Pelodiscus sinensis: one gene and its partners. The protein of the gene in region 1 interacts with the protein of each later gene in a pairwise test. Links are inferred from orthologs where the notes say so. Each region holds a gene or a part of one and is shown in the gene's direction. Other genes may lie near its edges.

Region 1 (9,721 bases):
GCAGACCAGGGAGACCCAAGCAAAGCCGCCCAGGTGGCGGGACCCGTGCCGCCTGGGCGGCTTTGCTCCTGTCCCCCTGGTCTGCTGGGGGGGTCCAGCGGCTTTGCTGGACCCCCCCAGCAGACCAGGGGGACAGGAGCAAAGCCGCCCAGGCGGCGGGGGTCCCGCTGCCTGGGCGGCTTTGCTCCCGGGCAAACGAGCAAAGCCGCCCAGGTGGCGGCTTTGCTCTGGTGTCCCTGGTCTGCTGGGGGGGTCCAGCGGCTTTGCTGGACCCCCCCCCCCCAGCAGACCAGGGAGACCGGGAGAAGCTTTTCTCGCCCCGGAGGACACGGGTGGTGACCCGCCGCCCGTGAGCTCTGGGGCGAGAAAAGCCCCGTTCATAAGTGTGGATCCGACATAAGACGGATCCGCGTAAGTCGGGAACTGCCTGTATTCAAAAGTTTTAAAAAACAAAAACAGGAGAAAAAGATGACAATGAGTGTATGCACTACAAATAGTGTGGTCTACTCATGAATGTAAATATCAGCTAAAAGTTCTATGTCTACAACAGTAAACAGTTTATCCAAATGGAAGTTTTATTTGAGGATTAGAGATAAATTCACAGTTTGCATTGTGCTTTGAGTTTTGTTTTAGTTCTGCAGCAAATCACATGAATGAACGGAATTTAAAGCATTAATCTACTGAATACTTTCTCCCCTGTATAACTGTTCACCAACATAAACACTGATTTACCCAGAAAAATTAATTGTTTTTTGCATTTATTTTCACCTGGTTTTGTTGTTGCGATAATAAACACTAATAAATTCCAATGAAAAATTAAATAAAATATGAACTGAGAACGAAAGCCCTAAGTATAACAGCTCCTTGGCCGAAGGTTTCTGTCATCTAAGTAACATGATCATGTATGTGACTCTCTTCTCATCAGTTGTTAGCTGTTCAGTGACTTTTGGGTTGCAAAACTACTGACTGCCTGGGACATCAAGAGGGCAAAGCAGTCAAGATCACATGGCCTTGCAAAAGTCCATTGGCTCATATTTGGAAATCTACGCATGTAGTAGGATTTGATTAGTATGTTTAACTAGTTATCCCTCTTGCTCTGTTTTGTGTCTGTGTAACTACAGTATGTGTATGTGGCACATTGCCTCTACTTTCACACAATTAAAAATAGTGAGATCCAGATTCTGCCACCCTTCTTTACATAGGATTGCACTGCTGAGATCACAGAAGTTGCTTGAGAAATGAAGTTTTACTTCACATGTATAAAGGTGGCAGAATCTAGCCTAGAATGAGAAACAAAAGGGTTAAGTGTCACATCAGAAACAGTGGTAAATAGGCTCTTAAAAGGGAAAAAAAGCCAAAAGGAAAAATGTGCGTGCAAGTTTCCCAAATACCAGCGTCACATACTGGGTTAGGGTGGTCCTTACAGACAGTTTTATGGAAGAGATGTACTGCCTGGTCACTCCAGAGCGGTGTTTTCTTCTTCCACCCTAAAAAGACCATTGACTGTTATGAAAAATATATGCCCAAGTGTGGGTTTAACACTAACCTTAATGATATCTGAATGCTTTAGTGTCTCTGAGTTTATTTCTACATATAGTGCTACCGTCTGTGCTTTTCAGTATTATCTATTTACAATTTTCCAGTGAATCCATCATCGCCTCTGACTTTGCTTGATCAGTCTGGGCATAAACCCTTTCATTCCTGTGGCAGAGAAAAGTTGTTTTCACATTTAGAACTACAAATGATAATAATTTACAATGAGCCAAATGAACATGCGCTACAGAACAGGGCACTCCAGGCACTTAGCCAGCTGCATAACCTCTGGATAGTTCCACAGCCACCAGCAAGATGAAAAGTGAAGCCAAATGAATAGGCCTGCCAAAGAACTGGTGTCCTTTCTGTAAAATCTGAGCATGGTATGACAGACTCCCCCCCTCCCTCCCCAAGCTTTATGAAATGGACTTATGGACATGAATATACATAACTCAATGGTGCTTTAAGTGAATTATTTTGTGTAACCCATCAATCTTCATGTCATGATCTGCTGGTTCTATTTATCTTACTTTGATGTGTGTGTAACCCCCTTTTTCCTCCCCGGGTTACTGGGGAGCAGGTCACACTCACAGGTGTGCCTGGGCGCCTGGTGTTTTAACCCAAAAGAGATCCTGAGCACCCCAGTGGTGATGGTGTCTAGTTGGGGAAAGCCCTATCCACCCCCTTACTGCAGTCCCTTGCTGGCAATGAATGTAAAATGGCAGTGCCTCCACCTGGCTGGCCTTGAACACACACTGGTGTGCCTTGAGAGCCTCCAGGAATATACTCATTCCAACATACATCTGGATCTAATTCCAGAACAACTACAAATCATTTATATCTAATAGAACACTTTAAAATAAACAATCTTTACTTAATTTGAATAAACAGGGATTAAAAGATTAGCAATGAATAGCATTAACAAACACATATCAATAATTGAAGCTTATATAGCTAGACAACAGTGACCCCACCCCAGAGTGTGCACACCCCTAGACTCAGTCCCAGACACGTGCTTGCGTTGGCGCGCTGATGTTGCAGCTGTAGTGAGGATTTGGTCCAGGCTAAACAGCAGCTCTGTTCCAGGCAGCACTTTTCCAACAAGGCCCAAACTTACTGCCTCATGCTGTGCCTATAGGAGGCAGCCTGCTAACTCCCAGTTCCAACAGGCATCCAGTAGCTGCACTCCAACAGCCCTTGCACTGGGTCAATGTCCTTGGCAGCAGCCTGGCTCCCCCTCTGGTTCCAAACTCCAAGGCAAAGTCCCAGACTGATAGGCCTCTTTCTTCAAGCACATGGGAGAGAGCAGTCCTCTCTCCCACCAGAGTCCTCCCTTCCTGTTTTTTTTTCCAAGGGCTCATGGGAATTGTAGTCTGGATTGTAGCACACAGGGTCTTTTCAGAATAAAACAGGCCCTTTTAGTAAGGGGACTACATGTGTATCATTTTTTTTAGTGTAAAATTGGGGAGCGGGGAATACTTTGTGGATTTTAAATGTGTGAATAAGAGACAAGGAGGGTGTTACCCAACTGTTAAACAATCTCTTTTGTCCTTAAGGCTGAGCAGGGGTTAGTTGGAGTGGCCTCAATTCTTTAACAAAAAGAAGAGGAAAGCAGAGGCCTTGGTCTTTTGGCTGGGCTGCACCTGAAGGAAAGCAACCGAAGACCCCAGAGTGAAGAGACAGCCCTGGTTTGGAGCGCAGCTGGAAAAGAGGCTTTAGGGTGAGTTTGAGTAAATCTGTATTGAGGTTTCAGTGTAGAATTAGCCAAGTGTTTTTGTTTCTTTTGATTTGTAACCTACTTTGCGCTGCCTGTTCTCTCTTATTACCACTTAAATCCTACTGCTTCTATGTAACAAAATCATTTTTATTTTCTATCAAACCCAGTGTAAATAATCATTACCTGGGGGGGGGGGGCAACTAGGGTGTACATTCCCCCTTTCTTTGTTAAAGGTGGCTTACCCTTATCTAATTCTTTGGGGTTTGATCCCATCTGGGGAGCGACATCCCAGGAAGCTGGGCACTAAACCGCACTCTCCTTGGACCTGAAGAGGTTCCGTGTCTGTACTGCTTCTCGGTGGGGGCAGGGACCCCAGCTCGGGGTCTTGTCTGGGGGAGACCAGCAGAGCTGGCCTAGCAGGACCAGGTGGTGAGGAGCCCCAGAGAGCGGGAAGTCAAATGGGTGAGTGACAGTGGCCGTGTCAGCACCCCGGGAGTCACCCCCGAAGGGTCGTCTGTAACCGCACTCCGTCACACATGGCCTTTGGGGCATGAAGCTGTTCTTCCAACAAGAGAATAGTCAATTCTGTATGATAGGACTTTGCAGTGCTATGCAAACCAGTATTCATAGCGATTCCCTATGGCCATAGACCAAACGGCTGCTTCTTATGGTATAAGCTTCTTATTGATATTTAACCTTAATATTGCAAACACAGGACTGGCTGGTGATTCAGTCATCCTGGAAAGCTAGTTGATACTCCAAGTTGTGATGAAGCTCTGTGTTTGTCATGCAACTTTGCATTCGGAGACATGAGCAGGTGAAAATAAGGGCTTATTCTGCTTCTCCAATTCTTGCCAAGTTTGAGTGACTTCCATTGCCTTTATAGGAGAATATTATTTTGGAGAATGTTTTTGTCTTTATATGTTGGAAAAGGAGCACAGAAAGGATCCCTGCCAAAAGAAAAAATTAACGTGTTTCTGTCGAAGAGTTTTGTAAATTCCATCTTTTCTTAGCACTATAGTTCAATGGTAGCGGGTCATTACCTAGAACACAGCTATTCCTGATTTACAGCAGTGAATCATGCTGCCCACAAAGACATTGTGTCCGTGTTCAGAAATGGATTTGAGTTCATCTGTTCAGATTTCTTTAGTTTTTTATTAGTAAAAATGTTATATGACTTTATAAAACACTTGGAGACAGTATACACTGTTGGTAAGGGATCTTCCTTGGATATGTCTACACTGCATTCCTCCTTCGAGAGAGGAATGCAAATGCAGCTGAGCGAAATTGCAAATGAAGCACAGATTTGAATTTCTTGTGATTCATTTGCATAATCGCGTCTGGGCACTATTTTGAAATAACCTATTTCGAAAAAAAAACACTGTCTAAACATGGTTATTTTGAAAGAAAACCCTCCTTTCAAAATTACCCTTAAACATCATTTTATATGGAGTACGGGTAATTTTGAAAGAAGGGTTTTCTTTCTAAATAACCGCATCTAGACAGCGTTTCTTTTTTTGAAATAGGGTATTTCGAAATAGTGCCTGGATGTGATTATGCAAATGAAGCATGGGAAATTAAAATCCGCGCTTCATTTGCAATTTTGCTCAGCTGCATTTGCATTCCTCTCTCGAAAGAGGACTGCAGGGTAAACATACTTGTCTCTATCAATTAAAATTTTCCATTCATCCTTAAAACTATCAGGACAGGAGTGTGATAATGCAGTGCTTTCTCTGGCAAAACGCCTTACAGCTAATGAGGCTTAAAAGAGTAAAGATTTAAGGACCAAGCGCGTATTTTGTAACACACAATATAGTTTTTGAAAACTATGCAGCCTTGTGCTGCTTCTCTTTTATGAGACTATAACACCTTTGAGATCAGTGGAATTCCATTAGCGCCAAACTGGAATAACACCACAGCGAATAAGATTCTGTGCATCCAAAACACATGTAAACATGAGCAAACTGTTCAGTGGCTTATAGGTTGTAAAGAAAGTGAAAAATGGGATCTTGTGCATTCATCAGTCTTATACTGAAAAATAGAACAAAATTCCTAATTTTCAGGTATTTATAAATTCTTGACCTATGACCACATACAGGCGTTAAGAGGTTCCAGGATGGTGCCCCTTCCATTTTGTAACTGGATAATGAAATATATTTGTCGCACTTGAGACATTAGAACAGCACAAGCAATTCTTTAGCCATCACTGATTTCAAGAGCACTTGCATGCAGAGCTGAAAGACACGTGTTATGAAATAAGAATTTATTGCATTTTTCCACTCTCCTGTTTCCCCCTGCAAAAAGACAAAAGGTTTACTGGCATCATTAACGAAGAAAAGAATCATATGACTGCAAGTAAGGGATTTTGTTAGTGTTACTGTAAGGTTTTGCTTCTCTGTATGCCTGCTTCCTCCCAGCTGGGGGCTGGCTTTCGTGTGGACAGGCCAACGACGTCACGGAAAAGCCCTGTCTCTGATCAGATGGTCTTAATATAAACCGGGTCTGCTGAGAAGGAATTAGAGAGGCAGCCACTCAACAGGAGAGGAATTATTCCAGCAGACCAGTTCAATATATCACACTCCACTGACCAAAGGAGCTGACTGTGTTTGGAAGAAACTGTGCAAAGTAAGGTAGTGCTGGCTGAAAAGTGTTAGTTTGAATGTATTGCTTTTGTGAAGGGAAATGATGGTAATAAGTAGATAAATGAAATGTGGCATGTGAATTTGGAATTGAATGTATTACAGTAAGTTCTAAAGTTTTGCTTAGCATGGAAATTCCTTAAGAAGGCACTACTAGCAAAGTAGACTGTTTATTATTTAACCAAATCAAAGTTAACATTTCTTATTCTGTCTTTTTGACAGTCAAAATAGATACTTGAAAGTGAAAATATTTGATTTTGTTTGTGAAACGGTGTTTCTTTGGTGCCTCCTCTCCAGCTAAATTCATTTCTTGCTGGCAAAAGTTTATGTGAACTATGGAATACACATGCACTTATTTTGCAACAAATGCTATAATTACAGATAGGAAAATGGCATAGGTGACAAGTTGTAGAGCAGAGGCAATATGCTCGGTAAAGGCAGCTATTCAAATTCCAGGTACAGTTTGCTGTTTTTCAGCACATTTGTTTGACCGGCTCTGTACTGTCTCTAAAACGTTTTCAGTGGTTGCTTAAGTTAGAAAAAATAATTGCTAGTGTGCTATTTGAGGAGATGGGGCACTTCTTGCAAACACAAATGAGGAATAAAGTTTGAAAACGGTCTGTGATGTTTTAATAGCAGACGCTCTCTTTGTTAATATGCAGAAGAGAACGGAGAACCATCAGAGTTACTCCTACAAAAGCAAAATGTATAAATAACTGTCACCTTGGGAGCTGGAGAGCATCAAAGTAACTTTCCTAAAAATGGTAGCTGTGGGACCACTAGGAATGACATCATAATATTCTGCCTCCAACCAAGGCAAAATACATTCAAAAGTCAAATATAATTAAAAGCCATGTTTAGACAAGAGGAGCTAACCTGGCTAGTTGCTCCTCAGTCAAATTAAGTTGTTTATTTAAAGACTGCAAATTTGAGCTATTTTCTCCCTGTAATTTCTACTCTAGTGGCATGATCAGGTACATACGCTGGGATCCCATTAGACCTCATTCTGCTCTCTTACACCAATTTGATACCAGCTTAATTCCACTGTGTTCCTTTTTTTTTTTTACACTGATATAGCTGAGAGCAAAATCAAGCCCACTATACCAAGACTTGTTGCTGTGGTTCTGCACTATATGTGCATTGTTTAATGTTTGTAGCTCTCAAAACAGAGTCAACTCTCAGTTGAGACTAAGCATGATACTTTGCAGGCAAAGAATGATTTCTTGTTTAACAAAGTGCGAGCGGACTCCGCTGGACTTTACATGCATATGCAGTGATGGGGAGGGTGCAACAAACATTCGCTCCATTGCTTAATCTGTGTAAGGGACAGGCACAACTGCATTCGCTGTAGTTCTCCCTCTGCACACCCCTAGAGTTTCACAGCGCCCCAGAATGGGCAGGGACGAGCTCACCGGGAATTACGTGCTCTTTGAAAGGACACAGCAGCGTGCACCGCCCCCCTCCTACTCACATGATGGGCTGCTAGGAAAGGCAGTCTGCCTTCGATGGTACCCTTCAGGGCAGTGCAGCTCCACACCATCCCCAAAATAGTGCTTAACATTCACAACTCAGGGGAGTCAAACATATAGGTTAGTATGTAATGCTGATTTCAACCTGAATCCTAAAGCCATGACGATGGCTTGCTAATTAGAAACGTTAGAGGCAAATGAAAGAGGCAACCATTCTAATTCTTCTTTTGTCTGCACACCAGGTGTTTTATTTAAACATGGTGACCATTGCTAATTTTGGGGGTCTAACATTTGCAACTTCGCTATTTTTTACTAGGTAAAAACCATGACTCTGAATAACGTCACCATGCGTCACAGCAGCAGTGTGCTGCATGCGCAACAGCAACGCTGGAGCATCCCTGCCGATGGACGACACCTGACTGTCCACAAGGACCCCCATGAGTACTACATGCGCAAGAGATACACTATGAACCCCGAAGATTATTACCGAAGGAGTTGGTCATCAGAGTCTTCTGATTCGGTCATTTCCTCTGAGTCCGGGAGTCCCTACTACAGGGTGGTATTGATTGGGGAGCATGGAGTGGGAAAATCTACCTTGGCCAATATCTTTGCAGGCGTACATGACAGTATGGACAGTGACTGCGATGTGCTAGGAGGTAGGTCATTACATTCTGTATAGTCTATGTTTTCTTAAAGCCTTTCTTGTCAATAGTCATCAGTAATAACACAGAAAACTACTGAGGTTGTTTAATCTGGCAGCCCTGAAACTGAGATGATACACACTTGGCCCTTATTTTCAAAGCTGATTCCAGTATATCCTGTATAAAAATTAGGGGCTATGAAAACACAAAAAACCCTCACTGACAAAGACTTACCTCTGCTGAAATACAGAGGAAAATATAGCATCTGAGCCTTTTGAAGTCTGATTAATTCTTAACTGTGCTGTAAATGCATCAGATCCTAAATTAGGGTATGTCTACACTACAGAGTTAGTTCGAACTAACGGACGTTAGTTCGAACTAACTTTCATAGGCGCTACACTAGCGCTCCGCTAGTTCGAACTTAATTCGAACTAGCGGAGCGCTTAGTTCGAACTAGGAAAACCTCATTTTAGGAGGATTAAGCCTAGTTCGAACTAGCTAGTTTGAATTAAGGGGTGTGTAGCCCCTTAATTCGAACTAGTGGGAGCCTAGCCCTCCCCAGGTTTCCCTGGTGGCCACTCTGGCCAACAACAGGGAAACTCTATTGCCCCCTCCCGGCCCCGGACCCCTTAAAGGGGCACGGGCTGGCTACAGTGCCCGTGCCAGGTGCAAGCCTGCCAGCACCCAGCCAGCAGACCCTGCACCTGGCACGGCTCGAGCCACCCACCCGATGCCCCCCAGCCCTCTTCCTCTTCCCGGGACCAGGCTGGCGGCTCTCGGGAGCTTGCCCGGGACCACAAGAGGCGGGCACCCGCCTGGGCTAGTGCGGACATCGTGGACCTTGTCCACGATCTCCGCACTAGGCACAGGAAAGTGGCGGTCTAGGGCAGGAGAGCTGCCAGCCTGGCCACCCAGGAGCAGGTGTGCATGAAAATCAAGGGGGTCCACTGAGACCCCGACCCTGAGCCCTGAGCTTACAATGGCCGTCCTGGGTCAGACCAAAGGTCCATCTAGCCCAGTAGCCTGTCTGCCGACAGCGGCCAACCCTAGGGACCCTGGAGGGGATGGACCGAAGACAGTGACCAAGCCATTTGTCTCGTGCCATCCCTCTCCAGCCTTCCACAAACCGTGGGCAGGGACACCACTCCTACCCTCTGGCTAATAGCACTCCATGGACCCAACCTCCATGACTTGATCTCACTTCCCTTTCAACTCTGTTCTAGTTGTAGCCTTCACAGCCTCCTGCAGCAAGGAGTTCCACAGGTTGACTCTTTGCTTTGTGAAGAAGAACTTTCTGTTACTAGTTTGAAGCCTGCTACCCATTCCTTTCCTTTGGTGTCCTCTAGTCCTTCTTTATGGGAACTAAAGAAGAACTTTTCTGTATGCACCCTCTCCACCCAACTCCTGCTTTTAGAGACCTCTATCCTGTCCCCCCTCCGTCTGATTCTTTTCTAAGCTGAAAAGTCCCAGTCTCTTTAGCCTCTCTTCATATGGGACCTGTTCCCAACCCCTGATCATTGTAGTTGCCCTCCCCTCTCCCAGCCTCTCTCTTCCCCCTCCCACCTCCTTTTCCCAGTCTCCCCCAGTTTTGTTCAATAAAGACAGATTCCATTTTTGACCACAATTGTCCTTTATTTTGTACATCAAGAAAAGGGGCTAGGGAAGGGTAAGTGGAAGGAGGTGAGGGAGGAATGGGGTACGAGCCCCCGATGGGGAGGACTG
Region 2 (9,867 bases), on another chromosome or scaffold:
CAAGGAATTGTTAGAAAGTGAAATTTCCAATAGTTTTTTCTTGCTTTTGACACCAAGCACAATATCAGCAGCTTTCAACAAGCAAGGCTTCACAAGCGTTTCTCCGATTACGTGCGCTTTCTTGGCTTTAGCGATGAGCAATGACAGTTCATAAGAAGCTTCTACTTCTTTGGCCGATGGTTGATGAAAAGCTCCAATAGTGTCCAGCTTTGCATTTCAAATTTTGAAGTTTAGCAGCAAAAAACTCTTTTGGTTTGTCTGTCAAAGTGCTGTGGTTCTTCGCCAAGTGTTGCTCAAGACAACTAGGTCTCAAGGCGTCATTGCTAAGAACTGTGTGGCATTCTACACATGGAGAATGATGGATCTTTTTTTCCCCCATGACAGTGAAGACATATTTCATGTAGACTTCATCATACTTCCTTTTCTTAATCGCAGCCATAATATATTAATTTAAAACAAACTATAAAAATAATGTTCCCAATTAGAATAAATTTAATGGACACAAGTTACTTTGATAAGTTATTGCAAACATTTATTTACTACTACTATTACGTACGGACGCGTACTATCTTATATATACCCCACCACCAGTAACCAAGCAAGAGGGATAGCTCAGTGGTTTGAGCATTGGCCTGCTAAACCCAGGGCTGTGAGTTCAATCCTTGTGGAGGCCATTTGGGGCAAAAGTTTGTCAGGGATGGTACATGATCCTGCTGTGAAGGCAAGGGACTGGACTCAATGACCTTTCAAGGCCTCTTCCAGCTCTAGGAGATAGGCATCTCCATTAATTTACTCCCACGATAGAACAGTCCCGCAAGCATGCTAGAAAGTTTGAAAAAGTTTCATTTCCTTCTACATTGTCCTTTGGCCTCCCCACCAACCAAACTGGTTCCCCTATACTTCGAAAGGGTGTATATATAGAGAGAGAGAGAGGGCTTGACAAATAATGCAATCTGCTTGCCTGCAATGAGTAGATTTTACCAGCTGGCGAGTGCAGGGGTGGACTGGCCTGGTGGGCTGTTGTGATGGGCTGGCCGAAGCCTGCACTGGCCGGTGGAGGAGCACAGCGCTGCTGGGAAGGGGGAAGTGCAGCGATTCTTGCCACCGGGCTGCCTGCGTGTAGCTCCAGCGCGAGGGGGCGGGGCGGGACGCCAGGACGCTGGTGTGACGTGGCCCCGCTGATTTTAAAGAGCCACGGTAGCTTGGCTCTGGCCGCGTGTCCCTGGGAGCTGGCTGCGGCGCACGGCACACAGCGCAGCCAGGGCCCGCCCTGCCAGCCCCAGTCCTGCTATGGCCCCATTCCCCCTTTGTCTCCGTGCCACCCGTTCCCCACGCCACCACTACTCCCCGGGCCCCCTGCTCTCCCTCTTCCCTGCAACCCCTTGGCTCTGCGCCGCCCTTGCACCCCACACCCTGCTCCCCCTGATCCCTGCCCCCCCAGCTCTGTGCTGCCCATTCCCTGCACTGCCCCAGACCCCGATCCCTCTGCCCCTCCCGTTCCCCGCGCCACCCCCGTACTCCCCCACTGTTCCCTGCACTCCTCTGGCTCTGTGCTGCCCCTGCACCCTGCTCCCCCTGTGGGTCGGAGTGAAGGGTGCTTGCCCATAGGGAGGGGCTGGACAGGGCAGGGAAAAGGCTGCTGTGACCCAGCAGAGAGTGGAAGGGGGAGTTCACTTGAAGCGCCTTTGCCTTTATGGAAAAAACCGAATGAAAATGCTATTTGCTATTTCTAGGGCTAAAATGCGGGACAAAAACAAAAACAAACAAAGAAAACCCCATCGCAAAATGCAAACATGTATAAAAGACAACAACAAAGGGGGGGCGGCCAAAAATGTTTTGCTTGGGGTAGCAAAAAACCTAGAGCTGGCCCTGGGGCAGGGGAAGGGGCTGGGCTGGGCTGGGCTGTGGGGAGGGGAAAAATATGGGGAAGGGGCTTGTGCTGAGAGGAAGGGAGGGGAAGGGGGAGGTCAGGAGAAGAAGAAGAAGAAAGGGGAAGGCACCAAGGGATGGGGGTGCAGGAGAGACAAACGCCAGGGGGCCAAGTGCAGACAACGAGGGAAAGGGCAGGAGGGGAGGTGTCAGTGGGAGGGGGGACAGGGTGATGCTGGGAGAGGAGAGGGGAAGGGCATTGGGGGCTAGAGGGGGGAGGGGGAGGTGCTGGGAGAAGGCTTAAAAGAAGGGGTGGGCATGAGGAAGGCGGGGATGGAGCAAGGCATCTGTGAGGGCATAGGGGCATGAGGGGAATGGGGCAGAGGGTGGTGAGGGGGTGGGTATCAGGGAAAAAGAGGGCAAAGGGGGCAGGGGCAGTGAGGGAGGGTGCAGGGGCCAAGAGATTCTGGGGGTGGAGCAGGAGGGCAGACACCTGCAGGGGAGGGACCAGCACCAGAGGAGAGAGGCAGGGCAGGTGTGTAGAGGGAGGTGTTAGGAGAGGGGATGAGGAGGGGTAGCTCACATGAACAGAGTGGGGCTACTGGAGGAGTGGGCACAGGGGGAGAGAAGGGCTGGTGGAGGGGGGCAGGTCACAGGAGGGCTGAGGGCAGTGAGAAGGGCAGGAGTCAGGACAGCAGAGGAGGGTGAGGGGTTGGGGGCAGCAGGCACCGGGGGAGCTGATGGAGCAAGGGGAGGAGACATGGCAGCCGAGAGAAAAGGTAGAAGGTAGGGCATGGTACTCAGGGGGGTTGGGTGGGGGGCATGGTACTTGTGGGGGTTTGGGGAGGGGGGGCAGGTTACTCGTGGGGGTTTGGATGGGGGACAGGGTACTTGTAGGGGTCTGGGTGAGGAGAGAGGACAGCTAAGCTGGTACCTGGGGGTCCTGCAACCAGGTCCGGGGTCTCAGGAAGCACGTGTGCTACTTATTCCCTGGGCTGCTTCCTGAGTTTGAATTGGTAGCTGTTTGCAAGTCTGCCCCCGTTTGAGCCTTTTAAATCAATGATCATTCAAAAAGCCAAGCTCCGTGGCCCCTATTGTCCAGGGGAAATTAGCACCTTTTCCAAGTGGCTCTGGGGCGAGTCTGTAGCCCCGGGAGGAGGGAGGGAGGGAGACTTCGGGAAGCTGCGGCGCAAAACAAACAGTTAAAGATGAACTTTGGGTGAGGTAATGCCAGCACGGGGTCTTTCTTGGGGAGGTTCGGGGGGGCTGGGTCACCTTGCACCCCCCTGGAATTTCTTCACGCCCCCCAGTTTGGAAACCTATGATCTAAATGATCCTTCAATTATTTGAATGGCCAGTCTTTCATTAATCTTAATCACCAGCCTCCCTCTTTTTACAAGCTCCTTGCCCAAAAGCAAAGCTGCAAGCGGCTCAAACTCTGTTGTGTTTAAGAACTGTGTCTGGAACCAGGGGCTGCAGCTTTAAGCAGGCCTCAAGAATGAAAACCAGGGATTCAAACATTAGGGCTACATCTACACTGCAGGCTTCTTGTGCAAGAACATCTGTTCTTGCGCAAAAACTTGCGGAGCATCTACACTGCATGCGCATTTTTGTGCAAGTAAATTTACAGTAGAACATCGGGCTTCTTGCGCAGGAGTTATTCCTCTCCCCACGAGGAATAAGCCCTCTTGTGCAAGAGCTCTTGTGCAAGAAGGCAGTGTGGACGAGCAACAGGGGTTTCTTGCACAAGATTCCCCTATGGCTAAAATGGCCATCAGAGCTTTCTTGCGCAAGAGAGCGTCCACACTGCCATGGGCGCTCTTGTGCAAAAGCACATGGCAGTGTGGATGCACTCTTGTGCAAGACCTCTTGTGCAAAAGAGTTCTTGTACAAGACGCCTGCACTGTGGATGTAGCCGGGGGGGAAGGGGGCTACTGCTTCCCTAACTTCCCTAAATGGTGCCCTTGGTTGTGGTCTTCTATCCTAGCTGTCTCCTTGCAGCTCTAATGCCCTCAGGCCTTGCCTTGCCTAAGGCCCTGCAATCTGGGAGTGAGGTCAGGCCCGAGCTCCCCAGCTCTGCCTGCCTTTCCCCAGCCTGCTCTGTCACAGGAAGCCTCCAGCTTCCCTGGCAGCCAGGCCCCTCCTGCTCCCCTGCTGCTGACTCAAGAGTGAGTCTTTCCTCCCTTGGGGAGCCCTTATTTATACAGCCCATGCTGGACCCTAATTGGCTGCTCTCTGCCACATCTGCTTGCTCCACAGCCTCTCCCAGGGCTGGATTTAACTCTTTTTGGCCCACCACAACTTACCATGGCAAGCTAGTTCCTGTCTGGTTATCTAATCTTTCTTAATGATTCAATGTTCTCTTAGGCTATGTCTACATTGGCAAGATTTTGCGCAAATACTTTTAACGCAAGAGTTTTTGCGTTGAAGTATTTGCGAAAGAGAGCGTCTACACTGGCATGTGCTTTTGCGCAAGAGATGTGCTTTTGCACAGAAGCATCTGTGCCAGCGTAGACACTCTTTTGCGCAAGAAAGCTCCGGTAGCCATTTTAGCCATCGGGCTTTCTTGTGCAAGAAATTCATGTTGCTTGTCTACACTGACCCTCTTGCGCAAGAGGGCTTATTCCTGAGCGGGAGCGCCAGAGTTCTTGTGCAAGAAGCCCTGATTTCACACATTAGAACGTCAGTGTTCTTGTGCAAGAACTTGCGGCCAGTGTAGACAGGTGGCAAGTTTTTGTGCAAAAGCAACCACTTTTGCACAAAATCTTGCCAATGTAGACACAGCCTTCGCTATGCCCACGGCCACTGCACAGTGTGTGGGGTGTTTCCAGGGAACCATGCACAATGACTCCAAGACCCCCTTCCTGGGCGGGACCAGGTCATTCAGATCCCACCATTTCATACCTACATTTAAGGAGATGTTTTCCAAGGTGCATTATTTTGCATTTATCAGCGCTCAATTTCACCTGCCATTTTGTTTGGTGAGACCCCTCTTCATGGTTGGTCAGCCCCCCAACCCACATAGCCCCCCAACGCTCAGAGGAAGTGGTGCCCACTGGGACAGGAAATCCAGTGCTAGGCTCAGCCCCACGTGCTCCCCCGCCCCCGTTAGGTCTGGCCGCTGCAACGCCACGTGGAGGCGGTGGGACGCTCCCACTCTCCTCCGCTAGGGGGCGCCGCCGCGAGCTCTACCCTCTGTGCGTGCGGCCTCCCCTCCCGGCCCGTGCGTGCCGCGTGACGTCAGGCCCCGCCCCATCCGTTCGGCGTGTGACGTGTGGCGTGCGCCGCTGCAAGCCCCACCCCCTGCCGGAGCGCGCGGCGTCCGCAGTCCCGTTGCCGCAGAGCGCTCGGAGCCGGAGCCTCCTGCCTGAGCCCCGCGCCCCCCCCCCCCCCCCCCCCCCCCCCCCGCGCCACCATGTCGCTGCCCGACCCGGCCGGCGGGGACGAGCTGAAGCAGGCCAAGGAGAGCGAGGCCGCCGAGAAGTTCTCGTTCCTGGCCACGGTCACCAAGGCGCCCAAGAAGGTACCGGGGCGGGGGGGCGAAGGGGGATGCGGGGGGGCGGGGGCGAAGGGGGTTTGGGGAAGTGTGGGGGGGCGGGGGCGAAGGGGGTTTGGGGAAGTGTGGGGGGGCGGTGGGGAAGGGGGTTTGGGGAAGTGTGGGGGGGCGGTGGGGAAGGGGGTTTGGGGAAGTGTGGGGGGGCGGTGGGGAAGGGGGTTTGGGGAAGTGTGGGGGGGCGGGGGGGAAGGGGGCCGCGGGGGCCGAAGGGGGTTTGGGGAAGTGTGGGGGGGCGGTGGGGAAGGGGGTTTGGGGAAGTGTGGGGGGGCGGGGGGGAAGGGGGCCGCGGGGGCCGAAGGGGGTTTGGGGAAGTGTGGGGGGGGCGGTGGGGAAGGGGGTTTGGGGAAGTGTGGGGGGGGCGGTGGGGAAGGGGGTTTGGGGAAGTGTGGGGGGGGCGGTGGGGAAGGGGGTTTGGGGAAGTGTGGGGGGGGCGGTGGGGAAGGGGGTTTGGGGAAGTGTGGGGGGGCGGTGGGGAAGGGGGTTTGGGGAAGTGTGGGGGGGCGGTGGGGAAGGGGGCCGCAGGGGCCGAAGGGGACTCGGGGAGGTGGGGGCGAAGGGGAAGGAGGCTCAGGATCTGTGTGGGAGGGTGGCGAGTGGGGGGAGGCTGGTTCCAGGTAGGGCTATCCAGTTCGGGGGTGGGGTACAGAGGGTAGTGGTGATGGGCTTCTGCTCTTGAGATCCTGTTGGCAGCATATCCAAGCCGGCTGCCAAGTAGGGGTGGGTGAGGGTAAAGGCCTGTGAACTGGCAGCATGTACCTGGCAGTGGGGATTACAGGTCATAGGGGAGCTGGCCACCTGCTGTGACTCCCATGGGTTGCACTGGAAGGGGAGCAGGGGGAGCGGCTGCCCATAGGATGTGGGTGGGGAAGCTGTTTGCAGGATGGAGTGTCCTGGAGTTGTAGGGAGGACAATTCACAAAGCTTTGTAGGGTGGGTGTGAGGGGGAATTGTGATGGCCCTGTACAGGTGTCTGTCATGAGTCAGGTGGGTAGGTTTGATTTGAACTGGGCAAGTTATCTTCTATGATCTCAGGGTCAGCAGGAAGGCAACCTGGGAGTGGGTTGGAGGATGGCTTTGAGGCTGGGAGGAAGGTACCAGTAGCTTATGAACTGGGTCATGACAGCAAGGTGTAGGGAAGCCCAGGAGATGTGATTAAATATCCCCTGAATATTTCAAGAATACAGCAAGCCAGGCATTTTCGGGAGCAGTATGTTTGTGGGTGCAGTGGACAAGTGTGGGCAACCAGTGTGAGGAGGGATTTGAGGGCAGCTTTGAGAGAAGGGCCCATCTGATGGCAAGTTTGAAGGGGATGCAGCTCTAAAGCTTCCTGGAGTGCTCTCTGTGCTCAGCATTCCCCTCTTGTCTCTTCACCTAGAACATGACTGAAATTCTCCCATCAGCTGCTCAGTGCTAGCAAAGGTGAGAGTCCTCAGACTTGGTTACTGAGGCTTTTACCTCTCCATCATCTCAATTTTGTCTGAGTTGGATTATACAAGAAGATGGTAAAAACTCTTTGCTGTAGCCACCACTGGTAGAGTTGCACTTATGGTGAATTTCAGGTCTTAACTTTGCATGTGTCAAGAGAGTGGGGACTCTGGGATCTAGACTGGCTGTGGGAGATCCCGGCTGTATTGAATATCATGTTTTCCCCTAGGGTTATGCCACATGCCTCAGTGTTAGGACTTGAACAGAGTAAATGGGAAAAACACTAGCGTGCTCAGCCACTGGAAATGCAAAGCCTTCCTGTGAGAAAGTTTTGATTGTTTGCATAGGTGCTGGAATTTTAGAGGGCGGAGGTACTACAGGCCTTTTAAATCATTTGCATTTGAGACATCCCCTTCTGCCTAATCTTGAATAACTAGCATTCAGCTGCCAGTGACAAGCCCTCCATGGATCTTTCTGTGCATGGTATCTATGCAGACAGTGGATATAGCCTGGAGCAAGGAGCAGAAGAATGCAGAGGCTAAGAGCTGCTTTTCCCCAGAGGTGATTCTGCAGCTGTAACCATGCTTCTGAGAGAAGTAAAGCAAACACTTCTTTTGAGTGTTATCTCCTTGCAATCTTGCACAATAGAGATGGAAGTATAGCCTGAGGCTTGTGCCCACATAAGCTGTAGTGTGGCAGTGATATGACAGATGAATACGCTGTAACACATAAGCATCCCATGGTGGGGGTGGGGTGTGGGGGTGGCAGTTACAGCAGGGGTGGTGAGCAGTGTGGGACAGCCCTCCCTTTAATGTGAGGATGCATAGGGTTTAGCTCAATCTTGTTCTTGTGAGAGGAGCTCTAAAAGGACTCATTCTAAGACAGGGGAGGGATCACATGGTGATTCCCTGTTCTATTCCCTCCCTCTGGGGCACCTGGCACTGGCCACTGCCGGCAGACAGGACGCTGGGCGAGATGGATCTTTGGTCAGACCGTTCTTATGCTCGTAACTGGACAAATTGGAGAAATGGTCTGAGGTAAACAGGGTGAAGTTTAATTAAGACAAATGCAAAGTGCTCCACTTAGGAAGGAACAATCAGTTTCACATATACAGAATGGGAAGCGACTGTCTAGGAAGGAGTACGGCAGAAAGGGATCTAGGGGTTATAGTGGACCACAAGCTAAATAGGAGTCGACAGTGTGATGCTGTTGGGAAAAAAAGCAAACATGATTCTAGGATGCATTAACAGGTGTGCTGTGAGCAAGACGCGAGAAGACATTCTTCCGCTCTACTCTGCGCTGGTTAGGCCTCAGTTGGAGTATTGTGTCCAGTTCTGGGAACTGCATTTCAAGAAAGATGTGGAGAAATTGGAGAGGGTCCAGAGAAGAGCAACAAGAATGATTAAAGGTCTAGAGAATATGACCTATGAAGGAAGGCTGAAAGAATTGGGTTTGTTTAGTTTAGAAAAGAAAAGATTGAGGGGGGACATGAGAGCAGTTTTCAGGTATCTAAAAGGGTGTCACAAGGAGGAGGGAGAAAACTTCCTCATCTTGGCCTCTGAGGATAGAACAAGAAGCAATGGGCTTAAACTGCAGCAAGGGAGGTTTAGGTTGGACATTAGGAAAAAGTTCCTAACTGTCAGGGTGGTCAAACACTGGAATAAATTGCCAGGGAGGTTGTGGAATCTCCATCTGTGGAGATATTTAAGAGTAGGTTAGATAAATGTCTATCAGGGATGGTCTAGTCAGTACTTGATCCTATCATGAGGGCAGAGGGCTGGACTCGATGACCTCTCGAGGTCCCTTCCAGTCCTAGTATTCTATGATTCTATGTGTGTGGGCCGTAATGATAGCCCCTTGAATCCGCTGCAGTTTCATAGCTTGATGTGCAGCTGTCTGGTTACAGTGCTGCCAGGGGCCTGCTGGGAGCACTTCAGGACATGCAGCGAATGTCCTCTGAGACTGATGACATCAGTAGCCAGTGAAATCTTGGGTGCAGGTGCATTGCCATCAATAGGAATCAGTGCTCCAGGCCACTACCCAACCAGAGATTGAGACTAGCACTGATAGCAGAGGCGTTGGCAAAAACGCCAAAGTATACAATGCTAAGTGCCTCCAGCTTATCTCACTTTCCACAAAATCATAACCATTAACAAGCCTCTTTCCTTCTCGAGGCTTGTATTGATTTCCGTGAGTGCAAAGTTGGTGTGATTTCTGTGTGCCTTTTTACAGCTCTGAAACGCCCTCCTTTCACACAGGCATCCCAACCTTTCCTCAGCACCTCAGGCAGAATCTGAGAGAGTCCCTGTATTTGCCAGGAGACTGAGAGGCCAACAGCAGTTTGCTTTGAACAAAAGCTTCTCTGAAGGCCGGTGGGCATGAAGATCAGACCTAGGGAGAGGATGGGAACATCTCCAGGATTTGAGTGCTGGTTCTGGCTAGTCCTTTGTGCTGACCATTCTAGACTAGCTTTTCAAAGGGCAGTCGTGTTTATGCTTGCCAAGAAGCGCATGTTCAGTTTCCCAGGGTAAGTGCCTAATTTGAGAAGCAGGAGGGAAAGTTAGGAAGAAGTGACCCTGATCAAAGGTGGGCTCCTGCAGAAGTAGATGTGCTCCTCATGTTTGATGAGCCCTCTGTGGCAGCCTGAAAGAGCCAGATGGGGAAATCCTTGTTGGTTACATACCCTAACCTTGAGGATCTCCTGTTTCTTCACTTGTCATTGAATTGGTAAAGATTAAAAAGTGAAGCAGCAGGAGGTGAGTGATTAAGAGATTATATGTGATCAACTCTGGCTTTAAATCCAAGGCCAAAGAAGGCGAGGTGAATTGGAATTCGACCTGGAACTGAAATGTGGTCTTCCCCCTCTTATCGATTAGGGAAACTAGTTTACCTGAGGCTCCCTTTTGACTGCAGTCTGCTTATTTGGACTCATCGTGCTTTGTCTTTTCTGTTATCAAAATAACTCCAGCTTTGATCTCCAGTGATTCTACCACAGTGCAGTGGGCATTTGAAGAAAGG
Region 3 (10,329 bases), on another chromosome or scaffold:
AAAATGCCGTTACACATTTACACACCAGGGAAGCAGGGTGCGAGGAGAGGAAAGGGGGGGGGGAGGACAGGCAGCAGCACAGGTAAAGGGGAAGAAGGCAATTTTGTGGGAGTTGGTATAAGCAGGGAGCAGCAGTACAAGCTGGGAATTGCTTTTACTCATGAGGGTTAATTGATGAGCCCAGGCTTATCAGTTAACCATGCCTGGGGTACACGTTCACATTCCTAGCCTGGCCAGAGCAGCTCCTGTTGACAGCAGGCCTGGACAAGGTGTGACATGGGTAGGGGTGCTCCAGCCCAGCCCAAGTAGCTCTTGCCCACACCCCCTTTAATTACATTTAACCAGTTGACCAACTGGACAGGATTTTACAACCCAAATTTGCTCTAAACGAAACTTTTAAGTAGCCATCGTCTAACGTCTTCCTCTAAGATTTTTTAAAAGGAGATTTCTTAACATTATTTGAGCAACAAATATACATGGAAATAGCTAGCATACACCTGGGGTGGGGCATGGGAGAACAGGGGAAAATGAAGCGGGGTTAATATTTTTTAAAGCGTAGCTTTACCTTCACAATCTCTTAAGATAACTCTTTCCCAACATATAATAATCTGCATTACTAAATTGGCCTCAACTTTAGCTCCCCACAATTCTTAGTAGGAAAAAAATGTTAAGTTTCACAAATAAATCCATTGTTATTTCTATTTTTGTTTTCTTCCTTCATTACCTTCTCTTTCCTTCAGTCCAGGTTAGGCCTGGACTACCCTACATTGCTAGGTTAACATAAGGCATTTTATGACAATCCAATTATGTCAGTGTACACACGATAGCCTTGTTCCCACCAATGTAAGTACCTTACTACCCTGACATAAGCCTCTCATGGAGGTGGAGTTATGTTGATGTACTATGGACAATGCAGTGTCTGCACAGATATTGCAGTCTTTATATCAGCTGTTTGCTGTCTGTCAATTTCAGTTCTACAGAAGCCATGAAATTCACAAGAAAGCCTGGCCCCTGGCTCCCCAAGCTGCCCCCCACAAGCCAACCAGTCGCCCAGGATACCTGCTGCTGCCATACCCTGACTGTATTGAAGCTCCTACCTAGTTGGAAGCCCAGCTGTCCCCAACCCTTGGCTCTCTACTGGGAGCACAGCAAGACTCTGGGTATGGTGTGAGTTTTCACACCAGAGCCAGAAGCCCCAAGTGGCTTCTCCTCTGCTCCCAGCTGGAAGATGAGGCATGGGGCATAGGTGGGCTCCAGCAGGGAGCTGTGGAAAGTTGAGAGCTCTGGCTCTCAGCCCTCCCTCCCCACAGTTCCTCTTCAATCTGTGGAAGCACTCATTGAGAGGACACACATGACTGATAGGTGGGTAGTATGGAGATCAGCCACCACAGTAATTATTTTAGTGACTAAGTCGCCCTAAACATAGGTTAACTAAGATGGTAGAATAAACATGCTCTAAGTGTAATTTTCTTAACATTCAAAATCTCAACTAAAAAAAGCTTGGCTACAAAAGTAAAATAGAGAACACTGTTCCATTCATTCCAGATACCACAAATACATGAAGCTAATTTTCTCCGCTAGCCATGCTGCGCAACTCTGAAAAAATTCCCACCGTTTTGAATGGGTCTTCAGTTCTCCTCATCTTTTGCTTGGCAAGATATTGAATAAGGCTATTATTTTCAGGGGAACCCCGTACTCCAATTGTAGATCTGCGCTTAAGTTTTAAAGCCATGGATTTCTCTGAAACAAGAACAATGCAAGAAAAAGCACAATGAAACTTCAGGAGAACACTTACAAGTATTTAAAAATACCAGGGAAATTGCTTCTATTTAAAAAAATGTAGGCATTATATAAAGTCTTGTATTTGGTCAGTTGTCTTCATTAGAAGAAAAAATAAAAACTGCAAGCATTTGAAATCTTGATAGTGTATTACATAACTCACAGGAACAATCAAAAGACTGTTAGAGAAGGAAAACTCCACAACAATTTTGTGGAAGAGGTGAAAGAAGGTCGTGTGTGCGCACGTGCGTCCACCCACCCTCTCTCTCTCACGGAAAGCATAGAACAGTTTCTTTGCTTTGTGTGTATCCAGAAATCAGGCACAGTACTGGTATACAGAAAGGGAAAACAAGAAAAGGTCTTTACAGAAAGTAAAAACAAAAAAGCTCAAAAGGAAAAACTCTTTCATATCAACTCTTGGGTATCCCCTTCCTTGACAGCATGAATGTTCCTTCACTCAACACTTCTCCACAGTACAAGAACCAGAAGATAGAAAGTTAATGCTGTATGACCAACATAAACTTTCATGAGAAGTTCTGCTAGAATTCCCAGGTTTGGGGCTGTGAGTGGGCGAGAATAGTGCCATGCAAAACTACCCTCCCTCAGCTTCCTTGCATCAGAAAAGCCAAAACAAAATAAAAACCCACATTCCTAATTTGAAGTCTAACACTGTTTCCATGGGAGAACTATATTGACAGTTCCTAGATCGGTTTGAAAACATGTTTAGCAACCTATTTAACATCCTCCTTTGCTCTCTTTTGTGCCCTTAAACAGGAACAGTAGAAAATGATGATGTAAACATCACTACAATATACATAAAAAGTATTGCTGTGAAACAATCATGGTGTAATTATCAAGGTGTAAATTTACTGTCATTTGGACATCAGGAAGAAACCCTGTCTACCTACTGATCGTGAAATCTCACACTTAGTTTTACTTATGAAGAGCCTATGCCACTGACAGAAATAGCCAAATTTGGCTATAAAAGAATGTAGGAGGAAGAAAGCTCTGTTACCTTTTCAAAATTCCTTCCATCTGATCCTATTCCCATGAATAGGCTTAACAGAGCTCTAGGAAGTCATAGTATTTCCCCTCTCCCCAAGAAAACACATGTTTAATAGCAAATTACTCTATACACCAGCTATAATGAATGTTGGACAATTCTTCACAATTTCCATCTCCTGTACTATTTCCAAATCACTACTTATAAAACCTATATCTGTGTTATCAGAAATTGTCCCAAATGCCCTGAAATCTTCTGGACCACCATTCACAACCACCATTAAATATTTAAGAGAATGTTCTCATTCACAAATGAACCACAGTATTTTGAAACATTCATTCCAAGAGTCACTTTGCTAACCCCTTACCTATAGATGGCTTAGCAGTAAAAGACTCTGGAGTAATCCCAAATTCAGCTATAGTTACACTTGCAAAATCAACAGGTGTCTTCATTACATTCTCTGATGTTTCACAATCTGGTTTTACATCTGCTTCACCTTTATCAGGTGTCACATAGCTTGCATCATCCAAGAATGTAGGGCTGCCTTTTGAAAAAGGACTTTGAGGTTTGTGTGCTGTCAAAAAGGACAAGGAAGGTTGAAGTAAGTTTCCCTTTAGTTTAAAAGAAAGGCTTTTGTTTACTGCCAGTTTACTATCATCCTTGCTGTTCTGATATGATTTTCTCCTTATGTATTCGTTGCATTTTACTCCAGGTTTAAATACATGTGTAGATCTCAGGTCATTTAAATTTTCAATTTCTGAAAGGTATGAGCTTTTTGATTCATCCATTTTGACAAACTTGTCTTTTGGAATGGGCAGAGAATAAACCTTCTCTTCTTCAATAAGTCCTTTCAAATTTTCTTTGACATCAGCAACAGTATTTATAATTTGTCTAGATTTTCTGCGCATTGTCAGTGCTGTTTTCTGAGCTTAAAAAAATATGACCAGTCTTGTTGCTCTCTTGTAATCATGCGTCTGTCATTAAGACGTCGTCATTATGTTTTTTTGTAAAAGCAATCACCATAACATGCAGACATCAAGCCATTAGAAGATACTGCTGCCATTCTATGGAGAGAAGCATGAAATGTTAGCTATGAAGTTTACTGTAAATATCAGATCTTATATGCATAACATTCTGACGTATGTTGATGTCTATATTAAACACAAAAACCATCTAAGCTAATTCAACATTACGGTGGAGATTTCCAAATCACCACCTCACGAAATCTAATACCACCATCTACATGTTTTGCTAGTCTATAAAGTGCTACCATATCATTTGTTGTTTTTTTAAAAATGCACAAGCCAGTACTCACTTTCATTAAAGAAATATCCAGCTTCTGAGATAATGATCATCTAGAGCACAACAGGATAAATCAGTTTGTTCATTTAAATAAAAAGATGTTATCTAAGTATGGCAAATAGGATAGTGAAAAGTTAAACAGAAATTCATGCCCAAAATTCAAAGCAGTATAAGCACAAGTCTTGCACCTGAGCATCACAATGCTTAACTAAGTGTGTCAGGCTGTGACAAAATGTTATTAAAAGAACATTGTAACAACATGATGCTGCAGGTTTATTCAATATCAAAGTGGGCCTTCCTGCTTTGAAAAGCTCAACACCAGTTGGCAGATGGAACAGAGTATTAAGAGTAAGTTGATCCTTTAAAATAACAGGTGTTTTAAGAAGGGGGAAAAGCCTGTTATACCATGCTGTGCATGTGGCATTGTTTGACATATATGAATGGGAGGCCCAGGTTATCTACTTTTAGTTGTTTCATTGTTCCCTTTATCATACTAAAATGTGACCATAGATTGGGAGCACTTGGTGGTACAGAAAGCCTGTCATTCAACTGGGCAACAAGGTGAAATGGAGAGTGAGGGCAATGGGTAGAAAAGAAGACGGGAAATTTTGTTGGGCAAGCATGCCGAGTCACAGCTGCTGCTCACTGCTGCACATTCTTGACCCCCATCCAAGGGGATGCAGCTTGAAGGGAGGGGGGGGGCGCGCACAAAGAGAAAAGGGAGCATATTCCACATATTCTCAAGGGGATCACAGGGGCATGTAGCACATGACAAAAAGAAACCCGGTAACAGGGGCCAACACAGCTCCAGGAGGGGCAGCAGAGAAGAGCCCCTGTGCCCAAGGGTCTATCAAGCAATATCCACCCAGCCAGCAACTTCCTCCCTCCCCAGCCCATTCTCCAACCAGTTGTTTCCATGGGCATTTCCTCAACTCCTATCATACCTGCCCCCCTCATTAGCCTCCCCCACCCCCGCTCCCCCTCATTAGCCTCCCCCACCCCCGCTCCCCCTCATTAGCCTCCCCCACCCCCGCCCCCCCTCATTAGCCTCCCTCACCCCCGTTATCTGCTCCCCCTCATTAGCCTCCCCCACCCCCGCCCCCCCTCATTAGCCTCCCCCACCCCATTATCTGCTCCCCTCATTAGCCTCCCCCACCCCCGCTCCCCCTCATTAGCCTCCCCCGCCCCCTGCCCCCCTCATTAGCCTCCCTCACCCCCGTTATCTGCTCCCCCTCATTAGCCTCCCCCACCCCCGCCCCCCCTCATTAGCCTCCCCCACCCCATTATCTGCTCCCCTCATTAGCCTCCCCCACCCCACCCCCGCCCCCCCTCAGCCTCCCCCGCCCCCGCCCCCTGCCCCCCTCATTAGCCTCCCCCGCCCCCCACCCCCCTCATTAGCCTCCCCCGCCCCCTGCCCCCCTCATTAGCCTCCCCCGCCCCTCCCCCTGCTTCCGCTCCCCCCTCACCCCCAGCGGCTCCTGGATCCCGAACGATCCGACTGAGGAAACTCCACTAGGCTAGACGCGCCTCTAACATTCAAACTCACTGCCTCCTCCATGCACGTGCGTATCCCTCCGCAGGCTGGGCCAGCGCTGAGGCGCCTCCCCTGCTAGCCCCACCAATCTGCGCATGTGCCATCCGCCTCATGGAAGGGGCAAAGAAGAAGGCTGTCGCTGGCAGACTTAGGTGCTCAGTCTCTGCCGGCGGCTCAGCGACACGGGACTCTTTTCCCTGCAGCGAGTCCCGGCAGCGCGCAGGGAACAGAGCTTCGTCGCGATTGGAGAGTTCTTAGTTTTGAAATAGAGCCCATCAAACGGCCGGTCCTTCCCTCACGTGACATACACGAGCCAATCAGAAGGCGGGGAGTGAGTCGACCCCCCTTTTATGCAAATACGCCTCATGCCATTTGGCCGTGAAGGGTGACGCCCTACTCTTTTCAAGCTGCCTGACTGTAAGAGTTCTGATTGGCTACAACCGAGACCCCGCCCCCCCCCGAGGCAGACCGCCCCCTGTCAATTCTCCCTGCCTAACCTCCACACACCTGCACCAATGAACGTCCCTCCCACCTCTGCATTCTATTGGGCAAGAGGAGGGGGAAGTGCGGCTCTGGTTGGGTCCCGGCCTTGTCAGTCACCGCTGCTGGTTTCCGGGTTTAGAAGCATCGTAGGAGCATGAGGCGGGTCACCCTGTTCGTCAATGGCACCCCCAAGAATGGGAAGGTGAGGGGGCAAGGGGCTCTGAGGAGAAGAGGGCGGGGGGACTCCGGAGCTTGCATGGTGGGGGAGGACGTTTTGGGGGGGGCATGGGGACCCTGAGAAGAGGTGGGGGAGGGGAACTAATAGGGGGGGTGCGCGAGGGAGAGGAGACGTTGGAAGCGGGAGGGAATGCGAGGGGGGGTTAAGGTGGGGGAGGAGCCTAGTTAGGGGCGGGGTTTGAGGGGTAGGTGTTGAGGGGGAGGAGCCTAGTTAGGGGCGGGGTTTGAGGGGGAGGTGTTGAGGGGGAGGAGCCTAGTTAGGGGCGGGGTTTGAGGGGGAGGTGTTGAGGGGGAGGAGCCTAGTTAGGGGCGGGGTTTGAGGGGGAGGTGTTGAGGGGGAGGAGCCTAGTTAGGGGCGGGGTTTGAGGGGGAGGAGCCTAGTTAGGGGCGGGGTTTGAGGGGTAGGTGTTGAGGGGGAGTTAAGGCGGGGGAGGGGCTTAGTTAGGGGCGGGGTTTGAGGGGGAGGAGTTGAGGGGGAGGAGCCTAGTTAGGGGCGGGGTTTGAGTGGTAGGTGTTGAGGGGGAGTTAAGGTGGGGGAGGGGCTTAGTTGGGGCGGAGTTTGAGGGGTAGGTTTTGAGGGGGAGTTCAGATGGGGGAGGGGCTTAGGTAGGGAATGGGGTTTGAAGGGTACTTTGGGTGAGGACATGGAGGGAAGGCAGTGTAGCTCTCAGGAGGAGCAGGACTTGGGGGGCACGGGGAAAGAATGCCCCTGGTGCCCTGTTGGTAGGTGAATGCTAAGGTCTCGGTCTGTGTATCTTTGTGGGTGTCGCAGGTTTGTGGATGGGAATTATTGCCTGTGAATCACAGTGTAAATCCTTGGGGGGAGAGGAGGTTGTGGTTGTTCTTGCAGGTTGTGTTAATTTGGCTGGGGTAGTGGGTAGATATTGTAAATCTTGCTGCTGCAACTCACACCGTTCTCTGGTGTAATGTAAGTACGGGCTGTAGAAAAATACAGGATTTTTTTTTAAACATTACAAAACGTGGGTTTTTAAAAAATATGTAACTTTTTTTTTTAATGCGTAGCAGCCTCTGTCTGCTGGGAGCTTGGACTCCCCACAAACAGGGGCCATTGCCAACACATGCTACTGCCTTTCTATCAGAAGCTCCTCTCGTGGACTGGCTCCCGCATGCCACCCCGCTCTGCTGCCCCTGGTAGCTGAGAGTGTTGGTGGCATAGGGTTTGAGGAGTCAGTATAATCTGATAGTCCTGCTGTAAGTGTGCCAACTTGAGAGAATTCTGTAGTCAGCATGCACAGAACAGATTATGAACAGGAGGCTACCAGACAACTCACCAGCACCAGCTTCTACAGGCTTCTCTCCTATGATTCCACTAAACACCAAAAAGAACTAAACCACCTGCTCATTAAACTTCCTGATACAACTCAGGACCAGATTTACACAAACACACTCACAAACACCAACCAGAAGCTTTATATCTGCTACCCAAGATCCACAGACCTGGGAAACGCATCATTACAGGACAGTCACATTTTCATCACCTTATAGCGGAAACCTACCGACTGTTATAATTACCTGCATGCCTCTAGCTTCCATTCAACACACATTTCTCAGTCAGTTGTGTGACGGGGTGCGGTCACAGATGACCCCTTGGGGTTGCCTCCCAGGGTGCTGACACCGCCACTGCCACTGTCCTTCCTTCTCTCTGGGGCTCCTCACTGTCTGGTCTGGCTGGGCCAGTTCCGTTGGTCTCCCCCAGCCAAGGCCCTGAGCTGAGATCCCTGCCCCCACGAAGAAGCAGTACAGACACTGAACCACTCCAGGTCCTAGGAGAGTGCAGTTTAGAACCCAGCCTCCTGAGAGAGCACTCCCCAGATGGGATCAAACCCCAAAGAATTAGGTAAGCCCCCTTTAGCAATGAAAGGGGGAATGTGCACACTGGTTGCCTCCCCAGGTAACAATCGCTTACACTGGGTTTGATAGAAGATAAACATGGTTTTATTAAGTTGAAGCAGTAGGATTTAAGTAGTAATAAGAGAAAGTAGGTAGAGCAAAGTAGGTTACAAATAATCAAAAGAAACAAAACCGCTTGGCTAATTCTCCACTGAAACCTCAGTGCAAACTTAAACTCACCCTAAAATCTCTTTTCCAGCTGCCACTCTAAACCAGGGTTCTCTTCCCCAGCCTGGGGTCTCAGGCTCCTTCCTTCAGGTGCAGCTCAGCCAAAAGATCCAGGCCTCTGCTTTCCTATTCCTTTTGTTAAGGAGTTGAGGCCACTCCCTACCAGCCACTGCTCAGACTTAAGGATAAAAGATTGTTTAACAGTGGCTCATCTAGAATTTGCAGGTAACGCCCTCCATGTCTCCCATTCACACATTTGAAACTCACCAAGTATTCCCCACTCCTTGTGTCGAATTTTGTACACACAAATGACACATACAACAGAGTAAGATAAACAGAACCAGCAGATCATGACATGAAGATCAATAGGTTACATGAAATAATTCGCTCAAACCACCTTTGAGTTATGTATATGCATGTCCAAGAGTCCACTTTGTAAAGCATGGGGGAAGGGTCTGTCACTTAAAACTTAAATACTAACCTGGAGAAGTGGAAAAAACGGATTGACCGAGCCAGACGAGTACCCAGGCATCAGCTTCTGCAAGATAGGCCCAACAAAAAAAGCAATAGAACACAACTGGTCATTACCTAAAGCCTCCAACTTAAACTCCTACAGTGCATTATTATCAATCTGCAACCTATCCTGAAAAATGACCCCTCACTCTCACAGGCCTTGGGGGCATGCCAATCCTCACCTACAGACAATTCTTTCCCGTAACCACATAGTTCACCATCATATTCACCCAGGAACCCACCTCTGTGATCAACTCTGGTGCCAACTCTGTCCACACATCTATACAAGCGGCATCATCACAGGACGTAACCACATCAGCCACCACTTCAGAGGCTCATACAACTGTACATCCATCAATGGGATCTATGCCATCAAGTGCCAGCATTGTCTCTCTGCCATGTATATTGGCCATACTAGACAGTGTCTATAACAAAGGATTAATGGACACAGAGCAGATATTAGAAATGGTAACACACACAAACCTGTTGGGGAACATTTCCACATCCCCGGGCACTCACTAATGGATCCATAAATGTCTGTACTATTTCAAAGCAATTTCAAAAGTCCCCTAGAGAGAGAAACTACAAAACATGGGTTTCATTTACAAGTTTGACACCTTGAATATAGGTTTAAACAAAGACCTGGTCTGTATGGGCCGCTACTTTCCACATCCTAGAAAAACTTAATGTTAACACATTTCTGAGACCGGATGGCATTCATCCAAGGGTTCTAAAAGAACTCAAATGGGAAATTGTTGAACTATTATCTGTGGTTTGTAACCTATCCTTTAAATCGGCTTCCGTACCTAATGACTGGAAGGTAGCCAATGTGACACCAATATTTAAAAAGGGCTCTAGAGGTGATCCTGGCAATTACAGACCGGTAAGTCTAACTTCAGTACCGGACAAATAAGTCAAAACAATAGTAAATAATAAAATTGAGAGGCATGTAGAAGAACATAATTTATTGGACAAAAGTCAACATGGTTTCTGTAAAGGGAAATCATGTCTTACTAATCTATTAGAGTTCTTTGAAGGGGTTAACAAACATTCGGACAAGGGGGATCCAGTAGATATAGTATACTTAGATTTTCAGAAAGCCTTTGACAAGGTCCCTCACCAAAGGCTTTTGTGTAAATTACATGGCCATGGGATAAGAGGGAAGGTCCTTTCTTGGATTGAGAACTGGTTAAAAGACAGAAAACAAAGGGTAGGAATAAATGGTGAATTTTCAGAATGGAGAGGGGTAATTAGTGGTGTCCCCCAAGGGTGAGTCCTGGGACCAATGCCTCTTCTTGCGTCTACACTGCCCTTTCTTGCGCAAGAAAAACCCTCTTGCGTGATGCCGTTACACCTATTACTTTTCAGGAAGAACGGCATTGCGCAAGAGGGTTTTTCT

The links.
Region 2: the proteins of GEM (region 1) and AHCYL1 interact in binary tests that used the Homo sapiens proteins (3 or more experiments, as listed by UniProt). The two-hybrid records come from large-scale screens. The link is inferred for Pelodiscus sinensis from reciprocal best matches to the Homo sapiens genes GEM and AHCYL1.
Region 3: the proteins of GEM (region 1) and KCTD9 interact in binary tests that used the Homo sapiens proteins (3 or more experiments, as listed by UniProt). The two-hybrid records come from large-scale screens. The link is inferred for Pelodiscus sinensis from reciprocal best matches to the Homo sapiens genes GEM and KCTD9.

Annotation. Positions count from the first base shown.
Region 1 is NC_134712.1:40,656,148-40,665,868, forward strand, and holds the start of GEM (GTP-binding protein GEM), read left to right. Parts: upstream 1-5,724; 5' UTR 5,725-5,875; intron 5,876-7,674; 5' UTR 7,675-7,683; coding exon 7,684-8,014; intron 8,015-9,721. UniProt on the Homo sapiens protein: Could be a regulatory protein, possibly participating in receptor-mediated signal transduction at the plasma membrane. Has guanine nucleotide-binding activity but undetectable intrinsic GTPase activity.
Region 2 is NW_027465886.1:177,412-187,278, reverse strand, and holds the start of AHCYL1 (S-adenosylhomocysteine hydrolase-like protein 1), read left to right. Parts: upstream 1-5,170; 5' UTR 5,171-5,284; coding exon 5,285-5,392; intron 5,393-9,867. UniProt on the Homo sapiens protein: Multifaceted cellular regulator which coordinates several essential cellular functions including regulation of epithelial HCO3(-) and fluid secretion, mRNA processing and DNA replication.
Region 3 is NC_134738.1:9,381,504-9,391,832, forward strand, and holds the start of KCTD9 (BTB/POZ domain-containing protein KCTD9), read left to right. Parts: upstream 1-6,061; 5' UTR 6,062-6,255; coding exon 6,256-6,303; intron 6,304-10,329. Other genes in the region: CDCA2 (cell division cycle-associated protein 2), read right to left, coding at 1,613-1,740, 3,150-3,690. UniProt on the Homo sapiens protein: Substrate-specific adapter of a BCR (BTB-CUL3-RBX1) E3 ubiquitin-protein ligase complex, which mediates the ubiquitination of target proteins, leading to their degradation by the proteasome.